Linked DNA regions of Tribolium castaneum. The protein of the gene in region 3 binds, or shares a complex with, the protein of the main gene of each other region. Links are inferred from orthologs where the notes say so. Each region holds a gene or a part of one and is shown on either strand. Other genes may lie near its edges.

The links.
Region 1: Taf7 (region 3) and Taf5 share a complex: the UniProt entries of both Homo sapiens proteins name them as parts of the TFIID basal transcription factor complex. The link is inferred for Tribolium castaneum from reciprocal best matches to the Homo sapiens genes TAF7 and TAF5.
Region 2: Taf7 (region 3) and Taf11 share a complex: the UniProt entries of both Homo sapiens proteins name them as parts of the TFIID basal transcription factor complex. The link is inferred for Tribolium castaneum from reciprocal best matches to the Homo sapiens genes TAF7 and TAF11.

What each region holds. Positions count from the first base shown.
Region 1 is NC_087398.1:2,407,308-2,412,838, forward strand, and holds Taf5 (cannonball), read left to right. Parts: upstream 1-1,298; 5' UTR 1,299-1,362; coding exon 1,363-1,419; intron 1,420-1,462; coding exon 1,463-2,048; intron 2,049-2,094; coding exon 2,095-2,422; intron 2,423-2,473; coding exon 2,474-2,630; intron 2,631-3,083; coding exon 3,084-3,404; intron 3,405-3,458; coding exon 3,459-3,968; 3' UTR 3,969-4,021; downstream 4,022-5,531. Other genes in the region: heterochromatin protein 1, read right to left, coding at 1-501, 575-832. UniProt on the Homo sapiens protein: The TFIID basal transcription factor complex plays a major role in the initiation of RNA polymerase II (Pol II)-dependent transcription.
Region 2 is NC_087394.1:5,383,457-5,389,055, forward strand, and holds the start of Taf11 (transcription initiation factor TFIID subunit 11), read right to left. Parts: upstream 3,168-5,599; 5' UTR 2,740-3,167; coding exon 2,459-2,739; intron 2,416-2,458; coding exon 2,231-2,415; intron 1-2,230. UniProt on the Homo sapiens protein: The TFIID basal transcription factor complex plays a major role in the initiation of RNA polymerase II (Pol II)-dependent transcription.
Region 3 is NC_087394.1:13,419,470-13,424,920, forward strand, and holds Taf7 (transcription initiation factor TFIID subunit 7), read right to left. Parts: upstream 3,011-5,451; 5' UTR 2,837-3,010; coding exon 1,721-2,836; 3' UTR 1,522-1,720; downstream 1-1,521. UniProt on the Homo sapiens protein: The TFIID basal transcription factor complex plays a major role in the initiation of RNA polymerase II (Pol II)-dependent transcription.

The DNA.
Region 1 (5,531 bases), on a different chromosome or scaffold from region 3:
ATAAAACTGAATAACAATTTGTGGACACTTGACGTTTGCTTCCTTAGCTGGGACTAAATCGGTCTCGTCGGTTCCCTTCCACTTCATCAGAAACATCAGCTGTCCTGTGGTGTCTGATGCTCCTATGATTTTCTCGGCTTGGTAGCCCCGTTCAAAGCCGACTTTTGATTTACTCTTGGATGAACTATCCTTCCCCTTTTCAGATTTCGACTCAGACTTTCGCTTTTTCTTGGATTTTTCGTCGTCATCGCCTTCTGATTTCTTCTTTTTCTTGGACTTATCCTCGTCGTCAGATGAGTCAGACTTGTTTTTACCATTTTCGTCGTCGGAATCTGCGTCTTTTTTTGAATTCTCTTTCTCGTCCGTGGAATCTGAACGACGGCGAGCTTTCTTCGACTTGGGCTCGCCGTCGGAGTCCTCCGTTTCAACCGCATGCTTCTTGGGCCTGCCTTTTGATTTCTTTTCAGACTTCTCTTCACCGTCCTTGGATTTTTTCTCTTTCTAGGGATACACAATTAAATAGATTTCGGGTCGAAGTGGGCTGGTTTTTGCTTGGCTTATCCAATAAACCCACCTTTTTTTTGTCACTATCCTCGTCCGCACTTTTCGTGGTGGAAGACCTCTTCGCCTTGGCTTTGCGCGACTTTTCAAATTCCGCTATGAGATCGGGACAATCGAGATTGTCTTCGGGTTCCCAAGTATTATCGTCTTCGCTATAACCTTTCCACTTGAGAAAATATTCGACCTTTCCGTTTACGACCCGCCGGTCGATAATTTTCTCAACTGAATATTCCTCCTCGCTCTCGCTGTCTTCTACCTTCTTTTTGCCCATTTCTGCAGTTTTGTTTGCGAATAACCGGTAAAGCGATGCTGACTGCGTACTTCTGGAACAATAAGTATTGCTTGCATTCAACTTCGTTACTAAAATGCTGACTAGTTAAGGTAGTGGATAATAATGCGATTGGAGCCGTTATTTACTTACTTTCAACTCTGGCTCTTAAAAAGCCACCACAAAACACCGCCGAAAAGATCCTTTTAATGGCGCTGGAAATATGGCGGGTGGCGGTTAAGAAAAAAATGGTGCCAACACAATTCAACCAATTAAAAATTGTCCAAAAACGACTCTCAGAGTTTTAAAAAATATAGCCAGGAGTTACAACTCTCATACTGCGCTCTCTGAATGAAGAGAAAATCGGATTGTTGCGAAATAAGCCTAGATTTTTTATAAATCGACGTTGAATGGCAGGCTTTAGGGAAATTTTGCGTTATTGATTGTTGTCATTTGCATTAAAGTGTGGTTAGGGAAACGTCAGTTTGTGTTGTATTTATTATTTTACGAGTTTATAAATGAGCGCCGAAGAAATGGAAAAATCTCAACTTGCAGCCGTTCTGCAAATTTTGAAAAAATACAATTTAAAGGTGAGCTTATGGCGAGTAAGCACAACGTAACATTTTTCATTAGGGCACTGAGGAGCTGCTACGAAAGGAGGCCAATCTCGGTAATAACATAGCTGATGGCCCTTTGCAACAAAATTCAGACGTTAGTAGCGTTCTGACGGGGTACAAGAGTGACGGAGATCCAGAAACCTATGAGGACTCTTACATGGAGTTAAAGCGTTTTGTTGAGGGCTCCCTTGACATTTACAAACACGAATTAGGCATGATTTTATACCCAGTTTTGGTCCACATGTACCTCGAATTGGTTTATAATGGACATACGGAGAAAGCGATAAACTTAATGAAAAAATTTGGCCCCGAACAAGACTCGTACTATCAGGAGGATCTCAGGAAGTTGGCTTTGGTCACAAAACGGGACCATATGAACGGGAACGAATTGACAGACACCTTCAAATCAAACCAGTTTATTATTCGAATGTCGCGTGACACTTTGTCACTTTTAAAACGTCACTTAAACGACAAAAAAGCGTCAGTTTTGCTGAACATCATCCAGGAACATCTCTACTTTGATATGTACGAAGGCGTAGCGAGGAACAAAAGCCAGATTGATGCCACGTCAGGTGCCGTTGGGGGAGAGGCAAAACGACAAGGTTCATTTTCGTTATCATAATTACAATAAACACATCAAAATTCCAGATAATAAAACCAAAGTCTATTACGGCATCCCCAAAGCCCCCGACATTCAGGCACTAGCAGCGCCAGTCGAAGACGAGGACGAAGGCGGCGAACAGGACAATCCGGACAAACCTAAGAAGAAAAAAGCCAAAAAAGACCCACTTTTCTCGAAAAAAACAAAAAATGACCCAAACGCTCCACCGCCTGATAGAATTCCAGTCCCGGACATGAGAGACCACGATAAGTACGAAAAAGTGAAGGCGTACAGAGAGGCCTCAAAGAGAGTTACGTTAGGCCCGGATTACCTCCCTTCAGTTTGTTGTTACACCTTACTTAACGCCAATCACACGTTAGTTGAGTTTATTCAGTGAAAATATTTTCTTTATCGGGGGTTTTTTAGGGTTAATTGTGCTGAAATCACCGAAGATTCGAGTATGCTGGCGGTGGGTTTCAGCGATTCAATTGTTAAAGTCTGGACACTTGTGCCTCAAAAACTGAAGGCTATGAAAAGTGGGGAGCAGCTGGAGGATGTCAATGTTGACGTAGAGGATGTCGTGGTAATGTTACATTTTTTTTTAATAATGAAATCGATAAAGTACATGAAAAAATATATAATCAATCAAAATTAAACGATAAGTAAAACTAAATCAGTAATTTCGATTACAATTTTTTGTTCAGAAAAGACTTTTATTATTACTACAAAAGTAATCACTCATTTTTTTAATACAACATTAAATATATTCAAAGTTAAGTTGAGATTTTAGTTTTCGCCCCCATCAAGTCGATAAAGTAGACACCGACTTAAATTAATCGACTACTTGAATAAATAGCGATAAAAATAGGTCGTTGCCGTGTGGAAACCGTCAACATGTTTAAAATCGCAAAATAAATGACTGGAAGGTGTATCATTTTTATTCATTTAAACAGTGTACTTAAAGAAATCTGCCAAGATAGCAACTTATCTGTCATCTTGGCCAGGTTCCAAAAACTTACATGTTTTCAACATGCAGGTGAGAATGATGGATGAAAGGTCCGGTGAGACTTCCAGATCGCTTTACGGCCATTCAGGGCCTGTTTACTCGGTATCATTTTCCCCAGACAAGACTCTCCTTATCAGTTGTTCGGAAGACACAACAATAAGATTATGGTCGTTGCAAATATGGACTTGTCTGGTGGTCTACAAAGGACACATGTTCCCCGTTTGGGACGTCAAATTCTCTCCCTTGGGCTATTACTTCGCTTCGGCGTCGTACGACCGCACTGCGCGACTTTGGGCCACCGACCATTACCAACCGTTGCGATTATTTGCCGGTCATTTCTCCGACGTCGATGTAAAAATTATCAATTTTTTTTTAATATTTTTTTACAGAAATTATTAATTGTAGTGCGTCCAGTTTCACCCAAATTCCAATTACGTTGCGACCGGTTCCAGCGACCGCCGCGTCTGTTTGTGGGATTGTACGACGGGAAATCATGTCCGACTTATGACTGGGCATAAATCGCCCATAATGTCTTTGGCGTTCAGTGTTTGTGGGCGGTTTTTGGCTTCCGCGGGGGTGGATTGTAAAGTGTTGGTTTGGGACTTGTCCCATGGACACTTGGTTGCAGAACTCACCGGGCATGAGAAGCCCATCCATGCACTTGCTTTCAGCAGATGCGGGAATATTCTAGTTTCAGGAGGGTTGGACTGTTTGCTCAAAGTTTGGGATTTTACCAAACTGACTGAGGAAATCAGCTCGGAGGAAGTAAATGTGTCGCATAATCCCGATGTGAGGATCGGGGATGATTATTTATTGAGGAGTTTTGCGACGAAGAGCTCGCCATTGATCAGCCTTCACTTTACGAGGAGGAATTTGCTATTGGCTGTTAGCATGTTTGATGGTGTTAGCACTTAGTTTATTGTAATGTGTATTATTTACCTTGATAAGAAATAAATTTTTTAACGATTTTTTTGGGGTTTGGTTTATGAATCGCTTGAAATAACACTAAAATGTTAAAATAGAATTCCGAGTTGAAAATAAACAGTGTCAACAACATTAAAAATGTTTGCCAGGACTTTTGCCAAAAACATTCATAATTTCTCTATGACGAATCAAACATTTTTATAATTAATATTCACACCGATAAAGTCGGTTATTCAATACTTGAAAAGAAAAAAGTAATGGTCTTGTACGTCGAAGTAATTACTTTGGTTGAACAGACGTATTTTTGGCGTCCAATCAAGAATAATATAAACAAGGATTTATTTTCGAAACAAATTTGTTGTGATAGAAAATTAATATCGTTACAAATTTTTACGCTTTGACTGGTTGTTAAAAAACAAAATAAATGTTAAGGTGCTTGTTTTAACTTTTATTTGAATTAATGTACATGTTTGTAGCTTGTTTTGTTGCGTTTGAAATTAATTTATTTGTGAATAACGTTACCTAAAAATTAGGCAAAGGATATGAAATTATTCATTAAGCCAATGTACAGGGTGAGTCTGCTAAAAGTATTATTTACAAATATACTATTTCAAAAGTATTAATTACTTTTTTTCTATACATGTAATTTTTTCCGAATATTTCTCCCTTTTCGTTATAATTAAAATTAATAAGACACCGTATGTGGAACTACGGCAGGGCCCGAAATGCCCAAAAAATCCAGCTAACCTACCTCAAGCCTAACAAGCGAAATCAAAGTAAACACATATTTTGTAAAAATATCATCGAGCGAACAATGCCAGTGGTGTGGCAGTGAACTTGTTTACGTACCTATTTTTCGAATGAACTATTTGAAAAAGGTACCTCAAAAATTCGCATTACGTGTGCTAAAAATGACTCGAGCATAAGCAAACCCAAAAACAACACTTGAAAATATCTGGAAACTGTTTACGGTTGGGATGATGGAGTAAACCCCACCCCCTATAATACGTCATTAGCTGAAAGCTGTGCAGCGTTCAGCCAGGTCCTGGAAAGCAGAGCATCTTAAGCGACAACGTTAGAAGCATCTGAGTGATATTTGATTCCCGATCGCTGCTGCAACACTAAGTAAGATATTTTTACGCTCTTAATTATAACATCGCAATTAAAAGTTGCTTCCTAAACTAGTTATTAAACTGGAAAAAAAAATAAAATTTCACAATTTGTGTGAAATATGGTGCACTTGAAGCTTTGGCCGGTGGGGCTTTGCATAATTTGCACAAATAAAATCATAAACATGTCCGGCTAAGTTAACATACTGCATACCTGTGTTAAAAATAAGTGTTTTCGGAAAATACGAAATGAATTGAGAGCATTGAATACATCGATTCTGGAAACCATCCAATAAACATGAAATTATTTATGTTACTAATCAATTTTTAAAATAGTTATGACAGGATTAAGGAAAAAATTCCAGGTCTTAAGACGTTAAACTTGGGTGTGGGTGTTACATATATGGGTACCCCCATTTGTTATTGAAGTGGTGGTTAAAAATAG
Region 2 (5,599 bases), about 8.0 Mb from region 3:
GCAGGGAAGGTAGGTACTAATGCATCTCCAAAAATAGATTTTGTTTGCCTTTTTTACAAATATTTACAATTATTAATGACAATATTAAAATGCTTTGCGACATGAATTTTTAGAATTAAAGTTAAAACTGTTAAAAAATTTTTACTCTCAAATTATTCAATATTAGAGGTTTCACTGTATCTAAATGAAATTATCTGGAATATGTAGACAAAAAAAGAAACATAAAAACCGATGTCAAACTTTTCTTAAATCATTGAGTAAGTTCGAAAATGTCTACTAATTTCTTTACTCAATTAGAGCACTAGAACTATTAATATTTACAAGAAGATAAGATACCCCGGACGTATGAATGATCTAATTAATTAAAACAATTGTGTGCATTTTTTCGTTATTAGAATACATTTCAGAGTTGATGTCACGTAACGACAATTGAAAAGTGGTCTTGGATCCGTTAAAAAAACAATTGTAAGTTTTGTGTTAGTTATTCGTAACAGTAATAACAAAGTGGTTTAAAACTCACTAATTACAACAAAAGTGGGTGTCATTTATTTAATAAGAAGTCGTAAGACTTCATTGCAGAAAGTGAATGAAATTTTGGTAATAAAAAATTAAACTAATCCGAATTAAATTATTATTTATTTTACATTGTTAAGCATCAAATTAAACAGGAATAAAAATCTGAATTTGTGCAAGTTTAATTAAATTTACCTAATACAAGTCTTAAGTAATACTCAAATCTTAAGAAAATTGCAAAAAACGGAATAAATTCCGTGATATAACGAAACCTTACTGACAGAATGTAACGCAAAAGGCTTCATTACTTTAAATAGAATAAACGTGAAAAGTAACAGGATAGATAGATAACAATTGGGAATAATTATTATGTCATTTTCATATCTTTAACGTATAGATTTTGCCTCCGACTTGAGTTATAAAATCGGCAATGCTCCTAGTTATTTTTTAATTACGTAAATGAGTATTAGTGAGCAAAAATGTGATTGTACAGTGACAAAGAATGATTTTTCTAGTAGTACTGTATTTAAAAATATGTCAATTGAGACTTTATCAAAAAAAATAGATTCATCATTGATCTGAAAACGAAGGGCATTTAGAAATATTGTACATTGTTTGTTTAAGTTTGTTTTTTTAATTTACGACGTTGCAACTTTTAACTCAAAAATTAAAAAAACTTAAAAATTGGCACTTAATAGGCAAATGGGCAAAAACAAAAAAAGCTTTTAGAAAAATCTTCTAGTTTATGATTTATTGTTTTTTACTGCCATTTCCTTACTCATATCTGTTTGCTATTTAAAAATATTGTTAGAGGCGACCAATTGTCTTGAATTTATTATTTATTATCGGTTTTTTATTGTAACAGTAGGGCACAGAAAAGAAAAATTTTTTTCAAAATTATAATCTTAGAACTTTTGTTTAACTGCGACCTAAAATTTCAAAGCACGGCTCCAAGACAATTTTTTATAACTCTTCAAATTGATGTTTTTTTCCTGTTCTTCGCTAAACCAAAAGGGCATTTTAAAAAAAATAGGGAATTAACTTTTTTGTAATTTTACATAGTTATTTTTTTTACTTTTTACATAGTCCACAGTGCAATGGTTCGTTAGACCACTATTCCATAAAGAAAGTCTTATCGAGCGTAATAATTAATTACACAAATACTTACATGTTTGATTTTTTTTGCACACAAAAAAAGAGTTTGACATTTCTAAGTCTTTGGACTGTTTTACTAATTTTTTAGAGTGACACCACTGCCGGAAAGAGGTGTGTAAGCTTTTTCGTATCGACTTCTTTTGAATTAATCAAAAAAATAATAATAAATTTACAGCTTAAAGAGTGCTTTAAGCAGTGGCAACTGTAGAAAAAAGTTGTTAATACGTATTTTCACGTTATTTGAGCTTCCGAATGTATTTTCAATCTCGAGCTGATGGTCTCAATTGTCAACTAAAATTTACCATAATTTTAGTGGTCAAGGCACTTATCTTCACAAAAATAAAAAAAATTAAACTATTAGACGTAATTTCATTGGAAAGCTGTCTGGTTAATACTTAAAAAAATCATAACTAAAAAACTATTGGGAATTTGGAGATTTTCTCGGCGCCCATCGATTCCTCGGATCATTTTACATAGGCTTAGACCAAAATAATTCCACATTTTCGAATAGTTTTGGTGTAATAGAGAAAATAAAAAAAATATTTTTTTGAATTATCCTCACCTTCCTCCACAACCTCTCCAACAAAGACCTTGGCAATCCCAGCCATAGCAATGACCACATTCTGGGAAACAGAACACCCTGTAATCGTCTGCATCAGCCTTTTAATTGCAGCTTTGGGAAACGCCGACCTCCTGTACATCTCATATCGATCCAGCTGATCCTCGGTGAAATTCGAGACTAGAACCCTTACAACAAACCCTCAGTAAACCCCACTTTACACCAACTTACTGCATTTTCTCGCGCTCTTCCTCCTCCATCTCCTTCCTAGTCTTCACCTCTTTCTTCTTAGCCGGAGCGCTGCTACTTTGAGGGGCTTCCGGCATTATTATATCCGACTCCAGGTACACATTTTCTTCGTCTTTGATGTGAATTTCAGACGTGAGCTGGGTCTCCTCGACTTTGACTGTCTCCACAGTGGAGTCGTCGTCTTCGTCCATGGACTCGTAGTTGGGGTCAGCTTTGATGATTTGACTCGTGGAGGCTGGAGGTTTCGCAAAAATGTTGTCCATTGTGTCTTTTTTTCACATTATCTATTTATTTTTTTGGAAATGAAGTAAGGTTATGTGTTAATTTTGACAGAAAAAATGAGCGATCGCTGCTCCCTCTACTGGTAGTTCTGTAGTTCCGTGCAAATCTGAGGTGGCGCCAGTGTCAAATTCCAGTCAATATATCACACTCATATTTGACAATAATTTTGTTTATTGTGTGTAAAATAAGGCGAAGTAAATGAAACGATGAATTTCTCTCGAGTTTGAGGCCCAATTCGCAGTGATAAAAATTGTGATAACGTGTCGGGTCGATTCGTCGCGGTGAACGACACAAAAACGCTTTTTTTTCGTTGTTTTATTGCGGGACCAGTTAATTCGCAATTAACCGCTTTTGACAATGTTCTAGTGTGATAATCGTACGAATTTGGCAACAAAATCACGTTGTAAGTATCCCAGTTGGTGGCTTTTGTTTGCTGGATGACAACTGTCAAAATGTCAAATCGGGCCTGGAGCCCCCTTGATCACCCAAGCGTCCACAGCATTGTGTGCGAAACCGTTAGCTGGGAACGCTTGGAAAGGCACGAAATTGTGGCTATTTTGAATTTTTTCACGCAGGTGCTCGCCGACTGCACGCAGGGGGCCTTAGAGCGTTGGATGGGGCTTGCTGTGCCCCAATTTTCTTGCACTGGCTCCCACTTCAACCACCACCATTACCCCGCTAAACCAAGAAGGTGAGTCGCGATTCCACGTTTAGATTATTTCCCTGAAAAAATGCTCAGTTATTTGCTACAATTTGTGGGGACTTCAAGGGTCACAAGTACCTAAAGTTTTTTTAAAATTATTTAGATCTATTACTTAATTTTGGCCACCCCTGCTTATGACAACAGTTATTAAATGAAACATTTATTGATTAATTTAGAAAATAATAAAATTACAAACTTTGACCTGGGGACATATTTGTAGCACACAACTTCTTTATAATACAAGTTATCTTTCGAAATTTCTTTTTTGTGAGACTTCAAATAAACTACTATTAACTGCACAAAATGTTAGGTGGGATATTGGTGATTTACGGCACGAGCCTAGCGAGTGCTGCATGAATTGCGAGTTAGGTACAATTTTTTTTTTGTATTATGTATAACTTTTCGTAAATAAGATGATTGTTTCTACGTAGCGATACGTAGTAATAATAGATGTTGATGCAGAGCAAAAAAAATATTTGATTATTTTCGATTTTTGTATATCAAACAGTCTTACCATTAGCGGAATTGCCCCTCGCCAGACTTATTAAAAATGAAAGAAACAGACTGGTGGGAGCTGTGTAAAAGGGATGAAAATTTACAGCAGGTGCATAAAGTTCGTACGGTGGGAATTGGGGATGTAAAATTGCACGAGAGCTAAGTGCACATTGCAGAAGAAAAACGAAAATCGTAAAGTTTGTCGGGACTGTAGAAATAAACGTCAGTGTTATTGCTACTGAAAAGGGGAAAATCTATAAAGCTTTATGTGAAAGGTTTCAGATGCAATTTTCGTGAAAGAAAAAAAAAACAATAAGATGGGACGAGACATTTTGTACTAATTATAAATCGGAGTTAATTGATATTGATTTTTTACACCCACACAACAAATTTAATTAATTTCCGTCACAGAATGAATTAATGTTTGGTTTAATAAGTTGCGTTTTAAATGTTTGGGATGAGGTCGGTTTTTTGTTGTTGCATTGTTCTTTGTTTTGAACCGTTTTAAATAAATTACCGATCAGGTGATGGACATTGCATGTCGGTTAATTAACTGTTTTTCCAGTTGTTGAGAGAACTGTCTATAATTTTTTGCATGAATCATATACAGGTTGTTCCAGCTATGACTTTCTCAAGTTATATTTCTGTTATTATTATTAATATGTGGAAATTCCTCAGATTTAAATTAAAATAAAGCAACGTTAGTGAAGAAAACACATCTTATGAGTTATATAAGTTGAAGGATTTTAAGAAACTAAGCTCTTTTAATAAATTATAATTATAAAATTATAATTCTTTTTTCTATTTAAAAAATATATGAAAAAACTATTAGTGATTTAACCGAATTTGAACTTCTTTATTAGGCTTCACAGCAATTATTTTTTTTGTGTTTTTTTTGCTTAAATATTTGATAAGCGTTTACTTTTACGAGAAATTTTTCTTTCTCTATGTCTGTGTTTTTTTTTTTCAAAAATTTTACCCTTTCTTCTAATTAAAATTAATTAATCAAGGATGTTAATATCAATAAAATTAAAAATATGAAATGATGTTTTCGAGAAAGAAACTCTTACAAAAATTTTTGCTAGCACCAAAATTACGTGTATTTCAAATTTTTTAATGATTTTTAACACGAAACAACATTTGAACGTTGTCACAAGAAATAGCAATTTTTTGTAGCGATTTGAATGTAATTAATTCTAGAAAAAATCTGAAAAAAATTACAGGTTTAGAGAAAAATACAAAGGATTTAATACCAAATGCTGAATTCTGTGCGATTATTAGTTTTCGTAAAAATATATTTTTAGTATACTCAGGGCCAGTTTATAGAAAGCTTCATCAAATTTTAATTCGTTGTTAATACTTAACAACGCGAAAAGACCAATCACATTAGCTCAGTTTAGTCACGTGATCAGTTTTAATCACTCATTTAATTGCGAATTAAATTAATGACGCTTTTATAAACCGGTCCTCAGTCTCTGTTTTTTTTTTTTTTGAGAATAAAGCGTCTAATGTCTTTAGTTACATTTTTTGAGGGATATTTTAGACTTTTACATTATTCAATGCCACCAACTTCATTTCAAAGCCAAGTACCACTTTGCTTTCAGTTGAATTCCTGATCAGAGCAGCCTGTTATTATAAAATTA
Region 3 (5,451 bases):
TTCTGGGGGATTAAACTTGAGACGGCCTTTTGTGCAGCAGCTTCAATACACTCTAGAACGTTGTCTTCTTCTGAATCTCTCATTTTTTTCCAAAAACAGTTAAATAATCGCAAACTTAAAAAAATGCGACAATCTTCAGATCGTTTTTTTTTGTTTATTATAAAAATGACAGTAACCAACCAAACATTTTCAGCCACCTATCTTTCAAATTCAATTTATTCGCGGTAAAAATTAAATAATATTTTACTTTTAAATTTTCGAAGAAATGTATAATTTTCTTTGTCATTTGTAATAAGGAAATAATTCATTTTTACTGAATACTATCCGAAAAAGATATTTGAGTCGTGTATAAAAGATACATCAGCTTTTGATTTTTTCTGAAAGTGTTAACAAAAACAATATAAAGGAGCCACTTTCAGAACATAATAATAGCCATCTTGATTTTTTTAATACTTACCCACAATCCACAGTAAGAGATTTTTAAAAAAAATGTTGAATAATTTATACAATCTGTCTGTCTATAAATGAATGTAGAATCGTGGTAGGTATTAAAAGTTTGTCGTTTTCTTCTTCCAGAACAAATGAACAATGTTAGTATATGAAAAATTTGGCTTTACTGGTTGTCTGAGTAGATAAAAATTGGTACTTTTCAGAAATTTCATAGAAAAGCGGGAAATTCAAATTCCAGAACGACCTGAGACCCTACACTCTTTTATAAACAGTCCGTAGAAAAGTCAGTGACAGTGTTGGTTACTATTATATGAAAAAGCAGAAGCGATAGTGAATAGAAGAATTATAATTTGTATTATAGTATAAGTAAAAACAAAAGTAATAAATATATGTTTAAAGACTATGCATAATAAAAACAACTGCAACTTTTCACATTTGGTTTTCTCTTTTAATTAGGGGCTTTTGTTGGCACTAAACTGATCACTAGAACACTAGAGTTCATTTTAAAACAAAATCGCACGAAAACCCAAAAAGTGTTAATTTGTCACCTATTTGACCCAAAAAAAATTAAATACACTATTGCCGTTTTTTTTTATAATTTTGAAATAAATATTGATAGTTTTTCTTTACGAGTCTTTATAATTGAGGCTGAACTCAGATTAAAAATGCAATGAGCATTAGTATGATTTATTAAATAATTTACTTATTTTCTTGTTATATACTGGTAAATAAGGAAACGTGTTATTTTACTTTATGATTTGCAATAAAAAAATGTATATCTCATTTCAGATCGTAGTAGAATTTTGCAACAACGCATTTGCAATTTTTTGAGTGAAATGGAGCATAAATTGAGAGCTTCTGCTAGGTTTTCTTAGCTCAAAGTGTGGCGCTGGAATTTGGTTTAACTCAGAATTTTTTTTCTTATACAGAAATTCTCAATTTGTGCTTTATTTTCACTCCAAAAAATCAAATGCGCTGTTGCAATTCTACTATGAACTGAAATGGGATATAATGAGTGTCCCTGAAATAGACTTGATGATGGAGACTAATACAAACTAAAAATAAGTATAGTTTTTGCCGATAAAGTTGTTTATTTTCTAAATTGTGCCCTATTCATAAAAAATAATTATCTATAGAAATTTACACAATTAAAATCGAATAAAACAGATTTTTTAATTAATCTAACATTGATACGCTTACAAGAAACACTTCACTATAACCCCTTTTTGGACCTAAAATTACAAAATACGATTTTTTAACCACTCCAATACTACTCTGGGTGCTGCTTCAGAAGCTCCTCCAACCCGTATTTCTCCTGTTCCTTCTCGATTTGCTCCTGCAGAAGCCTATCCAAAATATTCTGAAAGCGTTGTCTCAGCGCCAAATTCTCAATATTTTCAATTTCCATTTCCTGGTGTTGCCTCCTCATTTTCAAATTATCCAACTCCAACTGCAGCTCTTCAAGCCTCGCCAAAATATTACTCTTACTCAAATTCTGCTCTGTGTAGGAAATATTGCTGGATGACTGCTGATAATAGTCCATTTCTTGCATCAAAGAGGGGGAATTTTGCATTTCGTTGAACATATCACTGGTGAATTCTGTCAACAATTTTGAGTTTGCGGTATTGATCATCATTGAGTTGGAGTCAGTCAGGTGGCTGTCTTCGGCCGAGTTCTGACTATTGTCGTCCAGTTCCAATACGTTAAGGTGGGCGTCCTCCTCCTCTGAGTCACTCACAGCCCCCCCGAAAATATCATGTTCGGCCACGTTCTGATTGGGGGCTTCTGCAGGTTCCTTCTTCACCACGGTGCCTTTGTTGACTTTGTTTTCGTCGTCTTCGTTGATAACCTCCCATTTAACACTAACTGCATCATTGTCTATCCTTAACAATCTTTTGACTTCCTTCTCTATTTCGGGGGCTTCCACGTATTTCTTCTTCAAAGTCTTGCGGAATCGTCGCTTCCTTACGTTTTTCGTCGGTGGTGTGATCCCGTGTGGCATCAGATATTTTTTCTCCACTTTGTTGGGGTCTTTACGTTTCGACTTTTGTGGGGACTCTTCATCAGTAGTCGTTTGGTCGTCCTCTTCCTTACATATGAGCATTTGGCAAATATCGGCTGTTTTGTAGAAACCTTTCGAATCAATAGTTTTAAGGGACTCGATAATAGTGGGAAGGTCCATAACTTTAGCTGGTAAAAGCCAGTGGTCGATTCGGACTTCACCATGTCGCATGTCATTTTCTATTTTGATGGCCACCCTGTCTTTGAGGGTGCTGTTGTTTCGGATGGCTTCGCGAAGGACACGGGCTGGTTCTTCCGGTAGACGTAAAATGAACTGGCATTCGAGTTCTGCAGGTGAATCGGGTTCGTGGCCCCCTTTGTACATTTTTTTTTTTTCAATAATTGGGGCTTAAATTAATACAAAAGTGGATTTGACACGAATTTTAAACTTAATGTAAATGTAACAACACCATATTTTAATTGCTAAAAATGACAAACTTTTATTTGTTGACGGTTGAGGTTATGTTTGTGAGTTGTGGAGGTTAGGTATGCTAAGTGGTTTTCTGATTTATCGGCCGTGGGTGTATCTGTTGGTTGGGGGAAGTGGAGTACTGGTGGCGCTGCATGCTAAGACTTTAAGTCAGTGGCGTAGGTTATTTATCATTTATCTGTTTTTTCTTGAAATATTTGAAATATTTATTGTCTGACAGTGTTTCTTTAATTGTTTGTAAGTGGCCACATTGAATTTGGCGGGACAGTAAATAACTTTTTACCTAACAGTATGATTTTACAAAATAATGGCCAAGTCGTTAAATATTTTGGAATTAAAAATTTTGTTATTTCACTGAGGGCTAGAAAGTGGCGTGTTCTGTTCAATATTAATTTTAGTTACTTGATTTCGGATTCTGAATAAGTTTCGGATTGGCGTCTATAAAAATCCGAAAAACTTTGTTTTGTTTGATTTAATTTATTTGAAAATGCATTTTTTCTATATCTCATTTCAATTCATAATAGAATTTTGCAACAGCGCATTTGTAATTTTTGGAGTTTCTGGTTGGCTTTCTTAGCTCGAAACGTGTCGCTGGGATTTAGTTTAACACAGAATTCTTTTCCTTTACCGAAACTCTCAATTTGTGCTTTATTTCTCACTCCGGAAAATTCAAATGCGCTGTTGTAATTTATGGAATAAGTTTACTCGTGACTTCGTCACCCTTAAACTAAACTTTTCCACTTGTACATAAACAATCTTTTTATCGTCTTGTATAATATTAATAACTCTTGTATATAATCAGCATCAATTATTTATTATAAGTTGTACATCTTAAAAACATTCAAATAAACATAATACATCAAACAATGATCTTAAACCAACAAAAAACAATGAGATGTTTTTTGATTTTTTTGTACCTAGATTAGATACTTGTCATTCCAACTCAATAAAATGCCAATAAAGCAATTTACTGAATATTTTTTTTAAATAACGTTTATAAAAATGTAAAATACCAAGTTGTTAATTATTATTATTAGATCTGTATCTGTCACTGGAACTCCAAATTACATTAGCTATTAAGTTATTGAAGTGCATGAATAATAAATTAATAACAACTAACTTTGAGAGACAAAAACCGGAATAGATATTACATTACTAAAAAGCAGATTAATGTTTACGTAAATAGTTAAAATACATATATGTTTTTTTTTACATAATTATGATCAAGATTCATTCAAGATTTTTTTGCTCAACTTCTAATATTGTGAATCCATTCTACTTTACGAAATTTAAATGAAAAATATAGATTAATGTTTAAACTAGACAGGCACTAATAATAGTAATAATAGAGATTAGATTCTCAGCTACCACTATAAAAAAGTAGTAATATATTGCATTTTCGATTTTTTCCCATTTTTAAAAAGTAATAATAGTTTTTAACTGTAATTCAAAAATTTAAAGTAAAGGCAAACATTGCATAGTTTTAAATATTTTAGTATTTTACGAAAATTATTACCATCAGAACTTATTTCTCCATACATGTGTAGGTAATTTTGCAAATACCCTTTGCTACTTTTTGTTATGCTTTATTGTTGTTATGTGCAAAAATTACTTAAACAATGTCACTGGCTGTGTATCTCACAATTTAAAGCCTAAATTTAATTGTAATTAAATTCGAATTCCCAATTAATTTGACTTCTAGCTGCAACGTATAAGGTAATTTAATACAAATTAGTCTAGTAGTCAACTAGTAATTGATTAATTCTTAGTATTCTTACTAACTTGCCATTACTTTGCAATACTCAAGTTAGAACTCTATTAATAACGGTTAAACAACTTAATTACGTCCTTTTTGCAAACATTTTGAGCATCATTTCTTTGTTAAAAAATAGTAATAATAATAATAAATAATAAAAAATATAGTACCTACCTATATGTTTTCACCGACTTAATATGTTATTTAATTATTTTTAATTATAAGATATTGTAAAAAAAATCTAAAAAATTCACATTCATAGAGAAAGAATAAAGCAATTAACATCAACCGCTAACTTCTTTGTGGTTAGTTTTTGGGGTAGTATTTTTATCAAACTCACCCTATATACACATCAAAAGGAAAAATTATAACAAAGAAGAAAAATAAATTACAGCTGACTTCTTGAATCTGCTAATAAAGACCGTTTTTACCATAAAAATTATTGGGTCAGTGATAATTTTTTGTGATATTTTATTAAAGAGATCCTTAAATTTACAAAAGATGGATTGTTGGGGCACCACTACTATGTGTAGTTTTGTGTACTTGTTGATTTCACTTCACAGAGCTTTGGAATAGTTGTGATTTTTTTTCAAACAATAATTTTGTATTATTCGGATTTTGCCTCTTTGAGTGCTAAGTGATATTTAAATTTATAATTTGAAGGCTTTTATTATAATTTCTCAGTTCTACAGGCTGTTCCGTCTAGATCCCACATTAGAACTATTGAAAGTTCTAATAAAGATATTTATTTGAA